Linked DNA regions of Xenopus tropicalis. The protein of the gene in region 3 interacts with the protein of the main gene of each other region in a pairwise test. Links are inferred from orthologs where the notes say so. Each region holds a gene or a part of one and is shown on either strand. Other genes may lie near its edges.

What was found.
Region 1: the proteins of dbnl (region 3) and sh3bp2 interact in binary tests that used the Homo sapiens proteins (3 or more experiments, as listed by UniProt). The link is inferred for Xenopus tropicalis from reciprocal best matches to the Homo sapiens genes DBNL and SH3BP2.
Region 2: the proteins of dbnl (region 3) and sh2d4a interact in binary tests that used the Homo sapiens proteins (3 or more experiments, as listed by UniProt). The two-hybrid records come from large-scale screens. The link is inferred for Xenopus tropicalis from reciprocal best matches to the Homo sapiens genes DBNL and SH2D4A.

Annotation. Positions count from the first base shown.
Region 1 is NC_030677.2:22,009,768-22,014,217, reverse strand, and holds the start of sh3bp2 (SH3 domain-binding protein 2), read right to left. Parts: upstream 2,804-4,450; 5' UTR 2,409-2,803; coding exon 2,332-2,408; intron 1-2,331. UniProt on the Homo sapiens protein: Binds differentially to the SH3 domains of certain proteins of signal transduction pathways. Binds to phosphatidylinositols; linking the hemopoietic tyrosine kinase fes to the cytoplasmic membrane in a phosphorylation dependent mechanism.
Region 2 is NC_030677.2:96,296,699-96,300,352, forward strand, and holds part of sh2d4a (SH2 domain-containing protein 4A), read right to left. Parts: intron 3,108-3,654; coding exon 2,954-3,107; intron 1-2,953. UniProt on the Homo sapiens protein: Inhibits estrogen-induced cell proliferation by competing with PLCG for binding to ESR1, blocking the effect of estrogen on PLCG and repressing estrogen-induced proliferation. May play a role in T-cell development and function.
Region 3 is NC_030679.2:126,682,837-126,686,490, forward strand, and holds part of dbnl (drebrin-like protein), read right to left. Parts: intron 3,538-3,654; coding exon 3,482-3,537; intron 2,879-3,481; coding exon 2,766-2,878; intron 2,681-2,765; coding exon 2,606-2,680; intron 1,167-2,605; coding exon 1,023-1,166; intron 791-1,022; coding exon 713-790; intron 628-712; coding exon 476-627; intron 8-475; coding exon 1-7. UniProt on the Homo sapiens protein: Adapter protein that binds F-actin and DNM1, and thereby plays a role in receptor-mediated endocytosis.

The DNA.
Region 1 (4,450 bases), on a different chromosome or scaffold from region 3:
CTTTTCTCTGTAATAATAAAACAGTACCTGTACTTGATCCCAACTAAGATATAATTACCCCTTATTGGGGGCAGAACAGCCCTATTGGGTTTATTTAATGGTTAAATGATTCCCTTTTCTCTGTAATAATAAAACAGTACCTGTACTTGATCCCAACTAAGATATAATTACCCCTTATTGGGGGCAGAACTGCCCTATTGGGTTTATTTAATATTTAAATGATTCCATTTTCTCTGTAATAATCCGAATTATAGAAAGACTCCTTATCTGGAAAACCCCAGGTCCCAAGCATTCTGAATAATAGGTCCCATACCTGTATAGAATTTTGCCTAAAAATTCTAAGCAACTTTTCAACATACATTAAAAACAAACATTCAATAATTAATAGGTTTTTTTGTAAATCATGGTGTCTGTCTGTCTCTTTCTTTTCTGCTCTCTGTTGGCTCTGACTATCCCTCCCACATCAGTCTCGCAGATTAAATTTTATTGGAAAGTGTGACTCAGTAGCGAGCAATAAGTATTGTTATTTATAAACACACAAGAAACAGAATGAATGAGTCATTTTCATGTGCATTAAAGCAAACAGTAACATTATTAAAAGGAAGGTTTTATGGTCTATGAAGGGATATCAAACCTGTGACTCCCAGAACCCTCAGTCAGTGGCAATGAGATTTTAATGACATTATAACTTTTGTTTCCCCTTCTGCACTTCTCTAGTTTGGAGAACTAGAGAAGACTGCTATCTAGTTGCTATGGCCATTGGTTTTAGCAACCTGGCATTAGAATGATGTACAAGCAGGAGAGGGATTGAACAGAAAACTATAAACAATAATAATTATTAGTTTGTTTGTTAAATGAGTCTTACAGCCCCCCAGCCATTGTCTTTCCTCGGCCTGAGATAATACCCTTAGCACTTACTGTATCACAGGCCTTATTTAGTGATGATGTCTCTATAACACAGACCTGGCTTTTATAGTCAATGTAACCCTTCTCTTAGCCCTGTCTTTAAATGGATCCTACATCTGTGGGGTACTGCCGATCAGCAGTTACATGCAGAGTATAGAGGTGCGCACCACATATCTAGGAAGGGAATATAACAAATAAATGCAATAATAAAGTGGCAAACTGAAAGGGGGTCCTGATAAAAAATATCATGCCAATCCAGCAGTTCCACCTATGATATAATTAGCACATTAATGGTATTACATTCCAAACAAAGGCACCCACTGCTTTAAAACTAGGGATGCACCGAATCCTGGTTTTAACCCCTTCCGATCCTAATCAGCATATGATAATAAGGATTCGGATTCGGTTCGAGATTCGGTCGAATTCTTCTGGGTGGGTTCGGAGGTTCGGCCAAACCCAAAAAAGTGGGTTTGGTGCATCTCTATTTAAAACCTTTATTACCGCTTGCCTTCTAACCCTTTTGCCCTATTGGTTGCTTGGTTTAAACTCCCTGCCTCCATCATCAGCCAAAGGCTGCCAGGAGATGCTGAGGGTTATATCTCACTAACAGCTAGAGAATTGTTGGGCTGGGATCTAAATTACGGGGCTCCACTTTGCCTCAGGCCCCACTAATGGAGTCAGCTGCCCTTTCTAAATAGACAACAAAATAAACCCAATTATTTTCCCCCTTCAACACAGTCATACAGGTATGCCACCAATACAGTTCCATGTGGCCAGCAGCAAGTCTGCAGGAAGCAAACCTTTCTAGCAACCAATCACCAGATAGTTTTACATTGACAGCCATGCAGGTGAGACCCCTATACATCACTATGCCAGGCTACAGTGCCAACCAAACAAGCAACTGTTGTACAACTCACTGGGAAACACAATCTGGTCATTAATGCAGATACTATTACTTCTTGTGCCTGATTTACTAACAGTGGGCAAAGTGCTAGCTGCAGAAATGGGTGCAAATGTGCATCTGTATAGAAGCCATAGAGATGGCACTTACTCCTGCATTTACTCACCTGTTTAGCTCAGGGTTCTCTTTGGCTTCTGCACCCACACATGATTTCATTGGTGACAATGGAGGGCATATAAGAGAATGGCCAAGATTGACACCCCTATTGACGAGTATGTAATTAGTGCAGGATTTACTTACTCCTACTAATGTAAAATGTTGTGCCATGCACTGGCAGTGTCATCCTGCACCTGGGGCAATAATAAGTGCCAACCTATACCAACATTTGCACAGTTTTTTGCCCACTGTTAATAAATGGGAGCCATTATCCCATGTTGATAGATCCCCAGTATTCTGTGTACTATGGATACAAATAATAATAACCCACGTAAGACTGAGATTGCTGCATCCGAGCAATCACTTACCTTATGTCCTGCCTACACATGGTCCTCCTCTCGAATGAAACCGCCAGCGACTGTGATCTTTTTATATTTGTAGCCATTAGGTAAAAAACATGGTCCGGAAGGCCAGACGCATGCTGAGCAGAGGGGACGAGTATTCAGAACGGTGCAGATAATGGGGAGGGGAAGTAGAAGTTAACGGTGACTTCTGTGCCGCTCTGCTCCACGCCTTGCTGCGAGCTTCAAGGGGAAAAAGCTGAACTAATGCTGCTTGTAGGGTGGACACAAGCGATGGAGCTGGCCGGTGACTTATTTCCTGTCTTGTGGCTGCAACTTCCTCCTTCCTGGGGTCTGCAACGTGCATTTATCAGATGCAAGCGTCCTGGCCGTAAGCCCACGGCTTTACTATGGGAACCCAGCCCTGAGCCAATTGCTGCCTTTTAAAAAAATAAAGAAATCACAGGGGGATTTCCGGGCGGGGACCACATTACTTTTATAGAGAAAGCGCTTCCCCATTTATGAAAAAGGGAACTGAGGGAAGGCACGCTCACCTGAACTGGCCTCAGTCTAGCCTCTCCTCTAATGTCTGCTAACGGCATGGGCAACAGCGGCCATGCTTTCAGCCAAATATGTCATGGCATTGCTGAAATGTAGAAAAATCTGACCTCAGAGTTTTTTAATCCTATACTAATGGACTTGTAAATGGGTAATACTAAATGTTGTTTGTATGCTTTAGAGCAGGGGTGTCAAACTCAATCACATAAGGGGGCCGAAATCTAAAACAGGCTAAGTCTGTACGGCTGGCTAAGATACTGTACGGTCAGGCACAGTCACCAGGGGCCACATAAAACACTTTAGAGTGAGGCAGACTTGGGGAATAACACGGCTGCATTTCATACACCTCTGTGCAACGCATTAAAATGTTGAAGCATAAGGGGCACCTCCTATTGGAATGGGGTTGCAACTTGGACACCCGTTAGATTGGTGTTGAATACAACACACCTATTAGAATAGTTTTGAATAAGGAACACCTCCTATCAGACGAGGGCAGCATAAGGTGCACCTCCTATTAGAATAGTGTTGAAAAAAGGGCAATGCCTAACATTTCATAAGGGGCCCCTCCTAATAGAATAGTTTTGAATAAGGCACACCTCCTATTAGAATGGTGTTTAATAAGGTGCCCCTCCTAATAGAATAGTTTTGAATAAGGCACACCTCCTATTAGAATGGTGTTTAATAAGGTGCCCCTCCTAATAGAATAGTTTTGAATAAGGCACACCTCCTATTAGAATGGTGTTTAATAAGGTGCCCCTCCTAATAGAATAGTTTTGAATAAGGCACACCTCCTATTAGAATGGTGTTTAATAAGGTGCCCCTCCTAATAGAATAGTTTTGAATAAGGCACACCTCCTATTAGAATGGTGTTTAATAAGGTGCCCCTCCTAATAGGGCCACAAACTGCCACTTGGGGTAAGGTCGCATTGTGAGTCGCATCCCTATTCTTTTCTATGGGGGTCACAAGAAGTGGATAATGACAGGCACATCCCCTCCCAGGCCTATAAGCTCATTGTGCCTGAAAACAACCATATATCTTGCTTGCTATGTAGGGATATTACATAATACACTTTGCATATTTTGCATTGGGAGGGAAAATATAAATAAATAAAAAGACAAATGGTTACTAGTATACGTATAATACAGCACTGATCTAGGAAGTTTCCTCTCAAGGCAACTTCCTAGGCGCCACGTATGCCATCCCACCGGCGATTTACATTTTCGCCGGTGGGATGGCATTTCATGGAGATTAGTCGCCCGCGAACAGGGAGATTTGTCACGGGCCACTAATCTCCCCTTGTGCAAGAGCCCTAAAAGTCTACAGTGAGGTCAGGGCTCTTCTTTGTTCTTTTCTATGTGAAAAGAGACCCCCCACTATCTGTCTATAATCCCCTCTAATGTACTTGTAAAGGGCAATTATGTCCAGCACCTTTTCTTCAGATAAAACAACCCCGACCGTGACAGTCTAACCTCATAGTTTAACCCTTCCATCCCCTTTACCAGTTTAGTTGCAGTCTCTGCACTCTCTCCAGCTCATTAATATCCTTCTTAAGGACTGGAGCCCAAAACTGCCCCCCATACTCAAGGT
Region 2 (3,654 bases), on a different chromosome or scaffold from region 3:
AGACCCCAGCTTATCCAAACCAATCTACAACATGCAGGAATGATCAAAACATTTCTAATCACTTGTGGAAAAGCTCTTTGAGTAGATTTGAGTAATGTCATGGTAGTAATAATTTAATTGGGGCTTTAAAGGAAAACTATACCCCCAGAGTGAACACTTAACTAACAGATAGGTCACTTAACATAATATAACCTATTAAAGAATCTCGCCAAATTGGAATATATATATATTAGTAAATTTTATGCTTTTACATCCTTTACCTTGATCCACCATTTTGTTATGGGCTGTGTGCTCCCTCAGAGATTACATGACCAGAAACAATGCAGCTTTAACTTTAACAGGAAGAAGTGTGGAAGCAAAAGACAGAACTCTGTCCATTAATTGGCTGATGTGGCCTAGCAGGTATGTGTGCCTTGGCTTGTTTGTGTGCACTGTGAATCCTATGATCCCAGGAGGTGGCCCTTAATTTTTAAAATGGCAATTTTCTATTTAGGATAACCTAATTGCACATACTGTACTACTTAAAAAAAGTATATTTTTATAAAAATGGTTTATTTAGTTGAAGGGTTTTACATACGAGCTTGTTATATATTTTGTTTATATATACAATATATTTTTAGAGAGACCTACAATGTTTGGGGGTATAGTTTTCCTTTAATAAAGAGGGTCAATAATTAAATTCAACAAGTAAAATTCTTGTTAAATCAAAACATATTTAGTTAGATGAGCAGGTTGATTATAATTTAATATATTTTTCAAAAGTTTCTTACACTGCATGCAGTTATACAAAGCACAAAATTTTACAACAATGCAATTAAAATCTGCAAGCTTTTTCAGTCATTTTTCTCTCTAAACAATATGAATTTTTGGGAATAATTTTTGAATTAGCATTGAAAATTTAAAGTAGAACTCAACCAGAAATATAACTCACCCCCCCCCCCCCCCCCAGAGACTATCACTAACATTATATAATTCAAAACCACAAAAAAATGTAATTAATTATAAATGTATGTTTCCAGTTACTCGTTTATTATTATATATTATATGGCTGATGGAGTTTAAAAGTTTTATTGCCAAGTATATGGCCGTTTGGCTAAGTTTACTAAATATAACCTAGTAAACCAATAAGTATGTACATACATAAATCAGCACTTGTGTTGCATTCAGCGCACAGTTTTTGATAATTTTCCGTCTACCAGAAATGAGTCCAATATTTTCTTTTACAGTATGACATAGGAGATCTGTAATAACAAGTGACTGACTCCACCTAATTTTAAATACAACAGAAACAGGTTAATTTACACTGTATATCAATTTAACTACCTGGTTGATTCTTTACAGATATGTGTCTTATGTGAACTGGAAATCCCCTAAAATGAGGGCTGAGTGGAGTATGAGGAAATATTTTTTAATGTTTGGTTTAGTTAGAGTGGAAAATAATGCTTAATGGATGATGCCAGTTTTGTTCCAACAGTGTTTAATACTTAACAACTTGCAAGTGGCAGCCACAGTCAGCAAACATTTGTTTTCAGTGATTCATGATCACAAAAATCATACATGTAAAACTTCACAAAAGACCTGGGGAAAAGGTTGTTCTGGATAAGGAAAGGGATATCAAAAAGTGTGCGTGACCAGTGTAAACGACCTGCATGAAGATCAGTCAATAAATCAGGCATAATTTACAAAATCCCCTGCTACAAATAATAGAGAAATAAAGAAAAATCACACCCATTAGTGTTCAGATACAAAACATTTGCAGCAGAGGATTTGTGCTGTCCCCTAGTATTTTAGGTGGTGTATCTGATTTGTCATGTTCATGAAAGAACCTGTGCTTCCCCAGTTAACACTTTTAGCTTTTTGTTATTCACCTGCATACTAGCCGATAACAAAAAACAAATACCGTAAATCCATTTAGTTCTCTCTTTGCTAAAAATGTTATAAAGACTTGCCTGCTTGAAGGCACGTTTCTGATAAAAGGTCTTTAGTAAAAAAAAAATAATATGCTGCACTATAAGTAGAATACATTGCTATTGGGCTCATTTAATAAACAAGTATAAAGTTATGCTCCGAATTTGGGATGCAGCTGAATACCATTTTTTTTTCTCTTTTCTCTTGACCTACTGTTTATATTTTGTGCCATAAAAGTTTTCAGTTTTCTCAAACAATATTAATTCAAATTCCTCCAGGGCCAGACCAGTCTTACATTTCTGCATAGCATTACTGTGCCAACAAGGAAGTCCACAAAAAATGGCTAGTAACTCAAACAAAAATAATAAGTCTGCTTACCTTGTTAACATCAAACATAGTGGGATAAATAGTAATAAAAAAATTAGGACATTTTATTATTATATATTTACAGGGTTAAGATTATGCTCTACATATCCTCACACAAGATATATATATGTACACAAATGTTCACTATTTCAGCATTGTCAAGTGTCACGCATTAAACATGACGAACACAGAGTTTCAGCCCTCATGCTTTAAAAGCAGGAAATCAGGAAATTTACAGTTGCTTGCCTGACAACAGCCTACCAGCCCCTACTGCTCTATGAACTCCCTGATGGTCACCTTTTCCCTGTTCTCCCACTTGAAACTTGCAGAATGGCAAAAAATAAAATACTTCCAGCGCTTATGTAAGGTACTTTGGGGGTGTAAGTGGAACTAAAGCCATTTTAAATTTTTCAAGGGTACAAAAATTTGGTGTATGCCATAGCTGCACAGTGACAAAAAAGGTGACCTGCCTTTTAGTGATTAAAAAAGTCCTGAGTATTTTATTTTACAAGAAGTTTTGAGAATATATTGAGTTTGCACAATGGGTAATTATAAACTTGACCTAATCTTTTAAAAATTTGCTTATAGACAGCTAAAATATAATACAGTGGGTTAGTTTAAAGGCCTTTCCAAAAAATTATTTGTTTTCGTAGGGACAGAGATTATTATTATTATTTACCTGGTTTTCATCATTAATGATTTGTTGATTTGCTATTCTGACATTTTCATTAACCATTTGCTTGGTATCAGTGTTTTTTTTCAGTAAGTCAGCATTGTTGTGAGGGTGCAGTCTCAGTGTAGACAATTGGGATAATTCCACTTCTTGTTTTTTCCTGAGAGCAAAAATAGTTGTACAATAAACAAATGTATTTCTGTGTAAGAGAAAATTATGTTAAACTGTGGCCTAAATATTTTTCCATAGTGCAAGTTCCAACTTAGATTTTGAGAATTCAGTATATAATAAACAAGTTGTAAGACTCAGATGGGTCAACATTAAAATTTAGCAGGCGCAAATTGCAATTCCAAATACAATATCATGGGGTGCGTTACAGCAAACCTTACACAGCTACCAGTACAGGTGGGAACATCTTTTCGGCCGAAAATGCGCAAAGAGCACATGACAGTACATCATCTTTGTCACATGGAAATGTCCTTGGTGTTATTGAAAAGGGGTACTTAAAACCAAGGTCTTGTTTACAATGGTTGGGCAAATTTACAACTGGGCAATAACCCATGGCAACCATTGAAATATTTGCTTTCATTACTCCTGCTGCAGCTGACTGAACATAGCTAATTACTGGTTGGAAGCACATTTGCCCAGTGTTTGTAAATAAGCCCGACAATGATATAACCATGACTATTAAGCATGTCATGTAAAGT
Region 3 (3,654 bases):
ATGTTTCCTGTGAAGAATCAAAGAAAAGTTACTAAGGAAATTCTCCCAGTGCCAGTTGTCCTTGCTCCTAATAGATCCAATTAAGTTCCTACTGAAAAGGCAGAAAGTAGAGCACTGTTCTACAGCAAAGACTCAGCAGAAGGAGGCAAAAAATTAAAAAAAACATAAATAATGAAGACCAATTAAAATGTTGCTTAGAATTACCTATTATAACATACTAAAAGTTAACTTAAAGGTAAACCACCTCTTTAAGTTACCTCCAAACCCTTTCTAAATTTGCTCATCCATTGTTCAAGTGTGTCGCTCAGTTCCAGTCTTCTCAGAATCTCTGCTCTCTATGCTCTTTCCTTGCTTTCTCTTTGTACAAGCTCCAGTGCTTTTCCCTTTTCTCTCTCTTTCCTTTCCTTATCTTTTGTCTCCAGTCATTTCTTTATTATGTTTGCTCTCCGCTCTCTTGTACAAATGTGGCACTCACCTCTGTGCATCTATCTCCTTTGCCCTCTCTCGGAACCTCCGCTCTCTCTCCTCAGCCTCTCTCTGCTCTCTCTCCTTGCGCTCCTTTTCCAACCGATCCTTTTCTAAATTTGCCCTCCTGTGCTCCTCCAATCTCCGTTCCTCTTCATCTTTCTGAGAGACAGAGGAACTGTGTATTTCACGTGCACCTTTAGACCCTGGTCGTCATTTTTAGATCCGTACAAGCACCATTACTCACCTCTGCCTTAGCCCAGAAATTCTCCTTTCCTACGCGTTTTATCTCTGACATTGCATTGGTTTTCTGATACACTGACCCCTGTTAAAAGATTAAAATATATCAAACACTGGAATAACTCACAATCAATTACTTAGTGAAGGGTTTTATTTTGCATAAAATCATATTTTTAGTTCAAGTTGGCCCCCACATGTTATAGAGGGATATACCTGAAAAGAGTTGGAGAGAACTATTTTGTAACACTGTTCATATAATTCTAATTTCCCTTTATTTTGTCTCTCTCCACAGCTTTTAAAATAAAACCTTTTCTTACCACTGGTCCTTGGGGTCCCTCATTGCCCCTGTTACTCTCCTTGTGGAAGTTGTAGTTGGCGCCAGATGCTTTGGCCACCTTTTCCATGATGGCGTCTGGCTCTACATCCTCTTCGGCACGGGCATTAATTGTAACATGTGCACCCTGGAATAATAGGAATGGAATAAAATATGTTGAAAGCAAGATGTCAGTAACACACCCAGACTGGGATTTAAAATAGGCCCTGGCATTTCAAGTACACAGGGGCCCAATAAATAGTGACTGTCTATGGCATCTTACAGCAGCCCCTCTGGCATTTTACAGAATTTACAGATTGCCAGTCTGGGCCTAGTTACATGTGGGAAAATATGGTTCCCCAGTGGAGTTGAGGAGGCCAGTACCTATTTGATCAAGCCTTGGTACAGATAATAAAGTAGTCCCATCCAGGCCCAGACTGGAATTCAAAATGCCCCCCCTCAAACAGCCCCCTACCAGCCCAATAAATAGTGACTGTCTATGGCATCTTACAGCAGCCCCTCTGGCATTTGCCTGAATCTACAGATTGCCAGTCCAGTTGGGTAAGCAAACTTGGGCAAAGCTGGAGGCAAGACAGTAAGGGTGAAGGTATCGGCCATTACTCCATGGGCTAAAGTACCCTACATGTGACATTAGCTTAAAGAACTTGCTTTGGATCAACTAAGTAGTCTGCCATGACTATATACACAAGGGGGTGCTTGATGTTATAAGTCCTTAGCTGCCATTTGCTTAGCTATACCAATATATTATTTTAGCAGTCAACAAATCCTATATTAGTTGTAAGATACAAAATTAGTAGAAGGTGGGGCAATGGCACACAGACAGATAAAAGCATGGGGTGTTTTTTCTGCCCCGTCTGCCTCTAAGTATAGAGATAAGGTAGTCTAAATTGGCATAGATGGACATTATTTCTTTAAGCAATTAAAAGGCAAGTAGTTTAAGAAGCAGCAAGGATTTTTAGGAAGGAAAAGTAAGGGAGGAATAAGAGATGAAGACTCAGACCAGATAATAGAACTAGGGGACAGAAGTGCATTCATACCTGGCAATACAGAGCTATGACTGGATGTGGCTCCCACTACATCAAGGCCTTTTCAGCTTACAGTGCAAGGTATGTCTTTTACTAGGTCTTGTCATTATGCTGCAACACCATTCAGTTTTTTTGCACAGGCTGAAATTTGCTCTCTAATTATATTATGATCAGTGGTTCACTGGGGGGAATAGGGGAAAAGGGGAATTTTTATTGCTGTAAAAAAATCACCCAAACGGTACTGGATGTTAACTAAATGTGTTTTCCAAATGTTTTTATTCTTCATCCTCCATGGGTTTGTTTTATCGCCATGACAGATCCCCTTTAAACCAGTTACTGAAGGTGAAGGTGCATTATAAATCACAGCTACGGGCATTTCCTTCTGATTCCAAAAGTAGATGTTCGGGCAAGTGGCTAATCCCTGAATCTAGTTCAGAAGGAGCAAAGCAGCTCCACTGTTTTACCTAAATAGCAACCATGTGTGTCATGTTCCTCGGACAAGTTAATAGCAGATTTATGAAGTGCTGTTACAGTCTGATACCTTGAGGAAGTTGGCCATGGTGCTGACATGGTTGGCACAGACCCCTTTCCGGGCATCATTCACACCTTCGCCTGTCTATAAGAAAAAAAAATGGGAGAAATGTTAAATATATATCAGGGACAAAGGGGCTGTAGGATACTTGTTGGTCTCCAAAGCTCACCCAGTTCACAAGGACAAATTTTGGGAGTCCTGAGTTGGGGTCTTTCACCCTGCAGAAGGCGTACATCACTTTGCCGCTGCTCAGTTCTTCCACTAGCTCCTCAAGCCCCCCATCTGAGGTAAAAGAAAAATAGGTGAAAAAATAACAGAAGAAAAATACCTCCAGTCACTGCAACCAAATACACAGAAATGGGAATCTATGGGCAGTGTATTACCCTGGCTCCATCGTCAGCATAAAGGTGACATAACCACACATACAACAGGCGTCTTTAAGTGCTTAAAATAGTGACCAATGTCATTGGAATCTGTGCCACCCGTCCAGCTGGATCTATAAGTGTTCCTGATTTGTTAAGGGTCTCAGCAATATAAATTATGATTCATGGCAGTATGGACGCTCGGGTGTGGTTTTATTGGAGTCTGTGGATGAGATGTAATTTGCCTATTGTGAAGGGACCAACACATCTACTCACATGCCAAGGATCTGTGATTTTCGGGGGGGGGGAGGACTAGGTTTTCTTGAAAAAAATCGGTGTATCAAGAGGCATAGCTGGGCACTGACACCACTGAATGGTGGGCTGCATGACGCCATACACAGTCAATACAGACAGAATGCCAGGGGAAGGGGGGATATAAAACCATAGCAAAACAGGGTGACTGAGGCCAATGGGTGCCCCCATATGTCATACAACCAATGCGTAAAAGGCATGGATCACTCACCTCCAGTTTCAGCCAATCTGATGTCATTGCTGTTACCTTCATACGTATAGAGAGCCCTTGAATAAAACATTGCAGCCATTAATAATTGAATGATTTAATGGGCAATCTACTCTGAAACATTAACATTGCATATAAAATGAACCCAGTAGCTGCAGCCCTCTCTGATTGTTTCG